Linked DNA regions of Sus scrofa. The protein of the gene in region 2 interacts with the protein of the main gene of each other region in a pairwise test. Links are inferred from orthologs where the notes say so. Each region holds a gene or a part of one and is shown on either strand. Other genes may lie near its edges.

The links.
Region 1: the proteins of MAGED1 (region 2) and SMAP2 interact in binary tests that used the Homo sapiens proteins (3 or more experiments, as listed by UniProt). The two-hybrid records come from large-scale screens. The link is inferred for Sus scrofa from reciprocal best matches to the Homo sapiens genes MAGED1 and SMAP2.

The regions. Positions count from the first base shown.
Region 1 is NC_010448.4:170,760,965-170,765,469, forward strand, and holds the start of SMAP2 (stromal membrane-associated protein 2), read right to left. Parts: upstream 2,833-4,505; 5' UTR 2,413-2,832; coding exon 2,310-2,412; intron 1-2,309.
Region 2 is NC_010461.5:45,325,427-45,329,972, reverse strand, and holds the end of MAGED1 (melanoma-associated antigen D1), read right to left. Parts: coding exon 3,941-4,546; intron 3,832-3,940; coding exon 3,768-3,831; coding exon of another isoform or gene 3,570-3,767; coding exon 3,490-3,569; intron 3,285-3,489; coding exon 3,193-3,284; intron 2,970-3,192; coding exon 2,890-2,969; intron 2,799-2,889; coding exon 2,756-2,798; intron 2,485-2,755; coding exon 2,422-2,484; intron 1,844-2,421; coding exon 1,729-1,843; intron 1,491-1,728; coding exon 1,113-1,490; 3' UTR 1,105-1,112; intron 900-1,104; 3' UTR 691-899; downstream 1-690. UniProt on the Homo sapiens protein: Involved in the apoptotic response after nerve growth factor (NGF) binding in neuronal cells. Inhibits cell cycle progression, and facilitates NGFR-mediated apoptosis. May act as a regulator of the function of DLX family members.

The DNA.
Region 1 (4,505 bases), on a different chromosome or scaffold from region 2:
AAGGAGTGGAAAATGAAGGAGAGGCCTTGAAAGAGTGGAAGGGGCCTGATTAACTCACAGATTAATAAACTGAGGCCAGAACAAACTTTTTTTTTTTTTTTTTTTTTTTTGCCTTTTCTTGAGCATATGGAGGTTCCCAGGCTAGGGATCTAATCGGAGCTGTAGCCACCGGCCTACGCCAGAGCCACAGCAACGTGGGATCCGAGCTGGTCTGTGACCCACACCACAGCTCATGGCAACGCTGGATCCTCAACCCACTGAGTAAGGCCAGGGATCGAACCTGAAACCTCATGGTTCCTAGTCAGATTCGTTAACCACTGTGCCACGACGGGAACTCCGAGAACAAATACCTTATTTAACTGAACTGAAAGACAACTGATGGACACACTGTCATCTCATTTTTAATACAATGGCCAAAGTCACTGAAGCCACCAAGCCAAAAGGTAAAACTAATTTGTGAAGAGAAATTGTTTCAGGAACCAGGATTCTATTGCCAAGAGCCGTTAATAAAGTTTACAAGCCAGCAGTCACTAGCTCTCATTAAGATTTAATTTACTAATGTTTCATTACCTGATCCCCAGTAATTCTGTTGATAAAGAGCAATGGAAAATTTGGAGGAAGAACTGATGAATCAACCTCTCTCCCATGTGCTATGTTTTATTGGAATATGAGTAAGATAAGAGTGGTATGCAAAACGGGGCTGCAGTGGCACAAAGCATCAAAATGGCATCTGACTCCCCTAATGTAGCAATGCTCTCTCCAGTGGGTTGTTTCACTGTGACTCAAGATCTGTCAACTGAGGACACAAGGGAATTTGAGTAAAGCCAAGAGATATACTCCTAAATTTTAAACCAAATCTTTCACTAGATCTAGCACAAGATCTCACAAGAGTCCACGAGAGACAAAATGAACCTACTTAACATAAACTGATTCCAAAACTCTTTTAAAAATGAATTCTTGCCAATGAATTTAGGAAAGAAGTCTGGGGACCTGCTTTCCTAATGGCACATGCCATTTGTCTATGGGGAAAGGGCACTAAAATATACTATAAAGCGTCCTGATCAATGTCTCTCTCCCCGATCTCCTTACATAACCTATTTCTCTAAAATGAAAGGTAATTAAGTGAAAGCATCAATTAAGCATGTACTTCCTTTCTCAATGTTGATAAATACAAATACATCTGAATCTTTGTTCTGCACTATATGTCCAACATGCTACATGGCAAACAACCCAGGCAAATCCACTGCATTACAAACAAAAGTAAATTAATATAGCTCCCAAAATGCATCCCTTTCTACTCAAACCAAAAGGAAAAGAATCTTCCCAACTCCAATTATATTCCAAAGAATTCGGAAAGAAAATGAGGAAACAAAATATTTATCGTCTATAAATTGAGTGTAAACATTTCACGAATAACCAAGCTTTCCTAGCATACTGATTTGTAATTGTATCAAATCCTGAATCTTTGAGGGCACAGAAAACAAAGACTAAATGGCTCTGACAATCTACAATGATCACATTTCCCCTTAGAAGGGTGGCTGCCCTGGAAGCAACAAATTCGAAGCATGCTTTGCTTCCTTCTCAGCACTGATTAAACCGATCCTGCACTACAGCCACAATCTGCTAGTTTCTGCCACCACACGCACATCAGGCCTCCAACACACTGCACAAGCCAGGGCTAGGCTGTCTAGAAATCCGCACTGTGTCACTGCACAAGGCAGTTTCCCCTCCACACATCCAGAAAGAGGAAAGCCACCTAAGCACTGTCAGATCTCAGCAAGGCTGTAAACTGACGGAAGGAGCTGCTAACCAAATAGCAGTCAGCAACCCTCACCTCCTTAAAATCATTTAAGCAGTTTTTCTCACCGTCATCTCCCTTCCCTCCTCCCCCTTCCTCCCCTCTCTCTCGCGCTCTCTCTCGCACACACACACACACACACACACCGCACACACCACTCACTGCAGTTCATCCCCAGCTTTGCAAGCAGAAGGCTGTGAACTCCCGGCTGCCTCTGGACTGACAGTCGGCCCAGAACTCACTCACAGCCCTGAAATACAGACATTCTCACCTGCACACACCACGCCACTTCCACCCCCACCATCACCGCCCCCCACAGTCGCCCTCGCAACCTCTCCCCACACCAATGCCTGCGCTGCAGAACACCTAGAAGCCTCTTCAGCAAGGCTAGCACGCGTTACCATTTAGAGGATCGGGGCCACCTAAGCTCCAGAGACCTCTTCCCACCCAGTCCGCCTCCCCGGTTCCGCCCGGAGGCTGGACCCCTCGCCCGCCGGGAGGGATGCTCTACCTTTAGACTGGCAGTCCGCACAAAACTTGTTATCCTCCTCCAGCAGCAGGTTGGCCAGAACCGCCTGATACCGATCCACGTCCTTCACCGATTTGCCCGTCATGGCCAGGGTGCCGGCGGGGGCAGAGGGCGACGCGCCCTCCGAGCCCCCCAGAAACCCTTGCCTCAGTCCGGAGGTGAGGACTCCCGGTCCCCGCCCAGGGGCACCTCCTGAGCGGGGGAGAGCCCTCTCCCCTGGCCCGGCCTGGCGCCCCTTCTCCCCTCAGCCGCGCCCGACCCCCGCTCTGCAGCCCCTCAAGGCGGCGCCCCCTGGCGGGCTTAGGGAAAGGCTCGGGTCCCGACCGGGCTGCGGGACCAGACAGGAACCCTCACGCCAGGCAAGGGGGGCTCTCGGGTTTCCTGAGTGCCGGGCGCAGAGACTACCCCCCGGCCTGCCTGTCCGCGGGCAGAGTCCAGCGCCTCGGTTTCCCTGGCAGCTGCCGCCTGCTCGGGCACCACCTCCGCCGCCTACTTCCGGCAGCTCTTCCTCTCCTCCTCCACCCGGCTCAGCCCGCGCATGCGCCCCGCCCCCACCGCTTCGGACTGGGCGCTTCCCTCCTCTCCGCCTCTCAGGAACCAATCCGGGCAGAAGGGAGGGGCGGGGCTTGGGTTGGGCGGAGGGAGGAATGGCCACGCCCCTTGCATGTCCTTGGAAAAGAATGAATGGAGCCGGCGGAAAGGGAGTGGAGGGATTGGAAGAAAGTGAGGAAAACAGCAATTAACGTTTGCTGAGCTCTTACTATGTGCCAGGCGCTGTGCTAAGCGCTTTATATGAATTATCCCAATATAATCCTCAAAAACTCTCTACGAGTTAAATATTTGCCGTCCTTACGTAACCTGGGAGATGTGAAATACTCCAAAGTCCCCCAGGTAATTCTTTACTTCAACAGCCAAAAAGAAGGGCCCAAGGTTCTAACCCAGGGTAAGCGACATGACAACCACCCCAAATGTTCAGAGGATTCTGGTCCCCTCTCACTTGGAATGCCTGCTCCTTTTGAATTCTGGGTCCCCCGGTTCATTAGCGCTCCTCTTGTGATGACCAACATCTTTAGACATCGTTTCGCACGTCGCCTAGACATTTTCTGGTTTCATTCCTAAATCCTCCCCAAATAGTGCAGTTTTGTGCAGCAGACCTTTGCTGAAGGTTATTTGGGGAGGCGGGGTGGAGAGGAGGGGTGATGACAGTAAAACACGGAATAAGTAAACACTTTGAAATGATCATTCAACCTCATTGTCCAAAGCCACCCTTACTAGGTAGTGTTAGTAAGTACAGAATTTTTCCATGGCTGTCCTTTTCTTTAGGGATCCTCCAGCCCTCTAGCAAATGTTCTCATTCACTCATTCACTTAGCAGATTGTCACTGAGAAACTTTCTGTGTGTGCATGTGTGTGTCTTTTTAGGGCTGCACCCACAGCATATAGAGCTTCCCAGGCTAGGGGTCAAATCGGAGCTGTAGCCACCGGCCTACACCACAGCCACAGCAAAGCCAGAGAGAAGCTGCATCTGCGACCCGCACCACAGCTCACAGCAATGCTGGATCCTTAACCCACTGAGTGAGGCCAGGGGTCGAACCCACCTCCTTATGGACACTAGTCAGATTTGTTTCTCCTGAGCCAGGCTGGGAACTCCCTGAGAAACTTCTAGGTAGCTGGTAATGTACTAGGGGAGAGGGAACAACGTGATTCAGTTAGAGGTTTTGAAAGGTCACTTCGGGAGTTCCCTTGGTGGCCTAGAGATTAAGGACCCAGCATTGTCACTGCTGTGGCGAAGGTTCGATCCCTGTCCTGAGAGCTTCCACAAGCCACAGGCACAGCTGGGGAGAAAAAAATCCACTCTGGGTGCTGGGGGAAGAATGGATCAGGGAAGCTGGTAGGACCAGATGCTCAGGGCTCTCATCTCTAGTGACAACTCTCATCTTTTTACTTCCTCCCAACAACAGGATGCCCTCAAAACTTTCATCAGAGAAAAACTAAAATTTTCTGTTACTTTACTAATCAAAACAATTGGATTCTCTGTCTAAATCTCTTCCCTTCTCAGCCACATCAAGGAGATCTGACTTTCTTAAACACATTAAGTTCATTAAGGTATTTTTTGTAAACAAAGGCTCAGTTCTTTCTCTAGAAAGAATTCTGCCTTCATCCTAGGCCAGTTTTCTCA
Region 2 (4,546 bases):
TGTGACCTCCTTCACTGTGCATACCACCTTGTCTTTGTGATACCACTCTGTTCCTACATGGGGGTGAGGAATTCTGAAGATTTTCTAGAGGCAGGTTCCTGGACAGCATTTCCAGACATGGGGGGGGGGCGCAGTGGGCCTGCAGTTTGTGGGCAATGTGATGAGGGGTATGAGATCTTCCATCTCACACAGGAAACTTAGGAACCATGTTCACAGTGTTCTCTGTTCCTATTTCTGCCCCCATCTTGGAGTTATTCACTTTCCACATGGATAATACAACCAACACCCTGGAGTCCCCAGAACATTATCTCCGGGAACAGTCATCTTCCCTTCCCTTCAGCCACCCACTCTTTGAACTTTATTATTACCTGGAGTTCTGCCTCTTCTGTCTTCTTAAATGCAACTGTCTGACCACCTACACCCTCTCTCATTATTTCATCTTTCAATGTCACTCCAAAGCACCTAGCAGAGTATCTATCACATATGAGTCACTTACATGATATTTATTAAATAAGCCATACTTTTTCTTGGATCTCATTAGCATTCATGTTCGTCAAGCCCTTGTTTCCCAATCCATTAGCCAGAAAACTAATCTGCCTCTGTGTTAGGCTAGAACTGAGGCCCCGTCTCTCCCATATAAACAAGTTGATCTCTCCCTAAACACAGAAAAAAACAGGGAACACATCTAACTCACTTTGCAGTTTCAACGTTTATTTCTGATACCAAAACCTGACAGCACACAAGGGGGAAAAAAGCAATAGACAAGGAACAGCAAATAAATTTATCTTGCATGCCACTTTCAGTCAACAGGATGTGGCTCTCTAGATAGCTGTGTTTAGAAGGATTCTGAGGCTTCAGCCTCACTCAGGGGAAAGACTGTTGCAACTGATTAGCAATACCTGTGAACATAAAAAAGAAAGAAAATTAAAAATCAATGCTATATACCAAATAAGGAACAAAAATACCAAATGGTGCTTCCCCATACCTTCCTCATCTCCCCACCATGGGTTTCCTAGGACTCCCAGCTAGAGCACATAAATACATTCCCATGGACTCTACATCCCCAATGACCCTAAATGCCCAATTCCAAAGTGATATACCTACCCAACATCTCACTCAACCCAGAAGAAACCAATGGCACCAAAGTTGGCAGCAAAGTTGGCACTGGCTGTACCACCAGGGCCAATAATGGGGCCAGCGAAGGTCTGAGGAAATCTGGAGCGAGCATTCTGGTGGTATCTGGCCCAGAAGGTAAATGGGATTCTGGACCAGGGATCTCCAAAATCTCCTTCCTCATCCCAGGTCAGCAGCTCAAATTCAATGTCATCCCAGCTCCAGGGCCCAGATACGGCCTCATCTCCAATCCCCATGCGGGTTCTCGCCTCAGCCCGGGCCTCTGCCTCAGCTGCAGCAGCATCCAGAGCATCTAAGGCCTCATCTGCAGCCTCCATGAACTGTGCAGTCCAGTCACGAGGGTCTCTCTTCTGAACCTGAGATAAGGAATAGAAAATAAAACCAAGAATAGTATTCATTAATATTTATGAAGCACCTGCTATATATTTAACGCCCTACGTTGTGCTACTGTTTGCACAGTAACAACAACAAATGCCACCAATGATGTGGCACCTACATGTGCGATACCTAAGATCTCATTCCTGCTCTGGACTTTTCCCAGCCAGTCATACTTCATCCCTTGACCTAGCAAGTCTGGAGCAGTTCCTCTATTACCTCTGCAATGAATCTCAGCACTTTCATCTTGCTAGTCTCATGGTAGGAACGGAGGCCCCAGAGGAACTCATACTCAGGAGGGTTGCTGTTGGGCACTCGTCTGTAGTCTAGGTACCTTAGAAAGAGCAGAAAGGCCTTTGTTTCTACCCAAGCAGAATGATAGTCCATCAGTGCATAATAATGCTAGATTCTGACACCCCAGATTTCAGGTACAACTCCCCCCAGTCTCATTCCTGAACAGATTGTTTACCCTCTAATAATCAGGCCTTCACGTTCCTGTGCCAGTGCTTTTACACCCAGCAATCACCCAGGGCTGGAGGGTGACTGGCGTAGGGTCATAGAAAGGACAGCACTTAATTTCACCCCCTTTGTCACAACAGCTCTAGCTCCAGGGTCTTGTAATTTTGTCATTGAGCCACAAATAGGCCCACTGCAAAAGCCTCAGCCAAGCCCAGCCTTGGAAATACCTACTGTGGGCATGGTGGACAGGCTCCACTTGCAAGATAACTATACTGCAGAAAAGTTCAACTATAAGGAGTATACTCAATAAATACTCCTGAGTACACATGTGTGTCTGTATGCCTGTGTATAGGTATAAGTGAGTGTAAGAAATGAGCATAAGAGGGGCTTTCTGAGGCTGACCAGCACACAGAACTCATGAGGACCACACAAAGTCGCTTAGGCATCACTTACTTTTGCTTTACAAACTCGTAAGTGAGAAGTTTCCTCAGATCACCAAGGAGGGGATGTCTCACCCTGAAAAAAAAAAAAAAAAAAAAAAAGAACTCATAATCAGAGACTATGATATTGCCCAAAGAAAAGCAAAGCGTTTTCTAACACAGAGGTCACAGGCAAGAGAAGAGGCAGAGAGGTCAGAACTATTTCCCGTTCACCCAGGTCACATCGTTGGGCTCTGTACCTCCCCAAACCAATTCCCCTAGACCGCCAGGCTGATGCAATCCTGGGACCATCCTCTGTTACCAAAGGATGATATAAACAGGCAAGAGATGAGAGAGCCCAGTCATACCCAGGACGCAGTCCCATCTTGCGTAGTGCCTCCCAGAGGACAGCTGCAATGGGAGGCAAGGGGAGACAAGGGACGGAAAATGAGCATGGAAATCAGGCGGTAGCCAACCCCCAGTTGCTTGTCCAGCCACTCACCTTCACTGGCACGGTTGCCATTCATGAAGATGACACCCAAAATCACTAAGAGGAGACCCAGCTTGGGTGTGTCTTTGGTCCTAAAGGAGCACAAAAACAATACATTTTCAACAGCCATATGAATGCGACGCCCCAGGCAACTCACCCCTCTCACTTCCCTAGTTAGGCTAGGAGAGAATTCTATCCCAGTTCTGCACATGACCCTGTTATGTGACCTTGAATCCTGGACCTTGACCTACTTGAAACTCCCAGGAAAAAAGCACCCCTGAGAAAGGCCATGTTCCACCTCCCTTCCCATCTTACGTTCCCAGTATGCCAGCCAGGGACTCGGGGGTACTGATGAGAATATACAGGTGTTCTTCTTTGTCAATTTCCTTCAGTTGAATTCCAAATTTCTACAGGGACCAAAAAAAAAATCAGACTATGAAATTACAAAATCTAGCATAAGCTACCCATATTCAGTCACTCCCCTCCCTGTGACACTCACCCTAAATTCCCAGTAGGGATCCTATGAAATCTTTGAAATCGAGACTTTCCCATAATATCTATTTTTAAAAAAACCTTCCCCATCATTCCTGTCCTTCAGGGCTGCCTTCTCACCTTCTCTAGGACAAAACATGCGCGTTCAATGATTTCTGGATACACATCAGTGTATTCACGGATGATATCCCTCAGCATTTCTGCAGGAGAGAGGAGGGAGCACCTGAGCTGAGGCCACAGAACTACAACCTCTTTGCCAGCCCTGCTGAGGGGAGCAATGTCCTCAAGGGTGGAAAAGGAAGACTCAATTGCAGAAGGAGGGGACTGAAGGGGAAGGGACATGAGCAAAGAAATGGCCACACAGGGCAGAGCTCTGGGAGAGGGCACTGGATGCCCACCTGAGCGCTTGATGGGCACCTTTGTGTAATCTTTAAGCATCAGGTACTTGACCAACTTGTTCGCCTGAGAAGGAAAAAAGAAAGCATTAAAGTTATAAGCGATTTACAGGCCACTTGACAAGAGGGAAAAGAGCAAGAGGGAGAGGGAAAGTGACTGCAGTTACAATTCTTACTCTTTCCTGAAGAAGGGCCACATCTCGGGGCTGTGAGGCACCCAGGTTCTGTGAGGCACGCGAGTTGGGAGAGGGGCGCAGGTTCGGTGAGGGGCGCAGGTTCTGCCAGTCAGGTGGAACTGGCCAATCAGTGGGAATCCAGTCAGGTGGGAGCGGCCAGTCAGTGGGAAGTGGCCAATCAGGTGGCAGTGGCCAGTCGGGGGGCAGTGGCCAGTCAGGAGGGCCTTGCCAATCTGGAGGACCCTGCCAGCCTGGTGGAGTCTGCCATCCAGGTGGGGTCTGCCATCCAGGTGGATTTTGCCAGGCCAGTGGGTTCGGCCAGACAACTGGACCAGGCCAGACAATGGGGTTTGGCCAGATCACAGGATTCTGCCAGATCACTGGGTTTGGCCAGATCACTGGGTTCTGCCAAGCAACTGGGTTTTGCCAGGCTGGTGGGGTCTGCCTAGCTGGGGGGCTCTGTCGTGCTGGTGGGGTCTGCCTGGCTGGCTGATTTTGCCAGCCTGATGGGTTCTGCCAGGCCAATGGGGTCTGCCAGAGAACATTGGGAGGTGCGCCAGGTGGGCTCTGAGTGGTAATTGGAACGGGTGCAGACCTCCAGGTCCC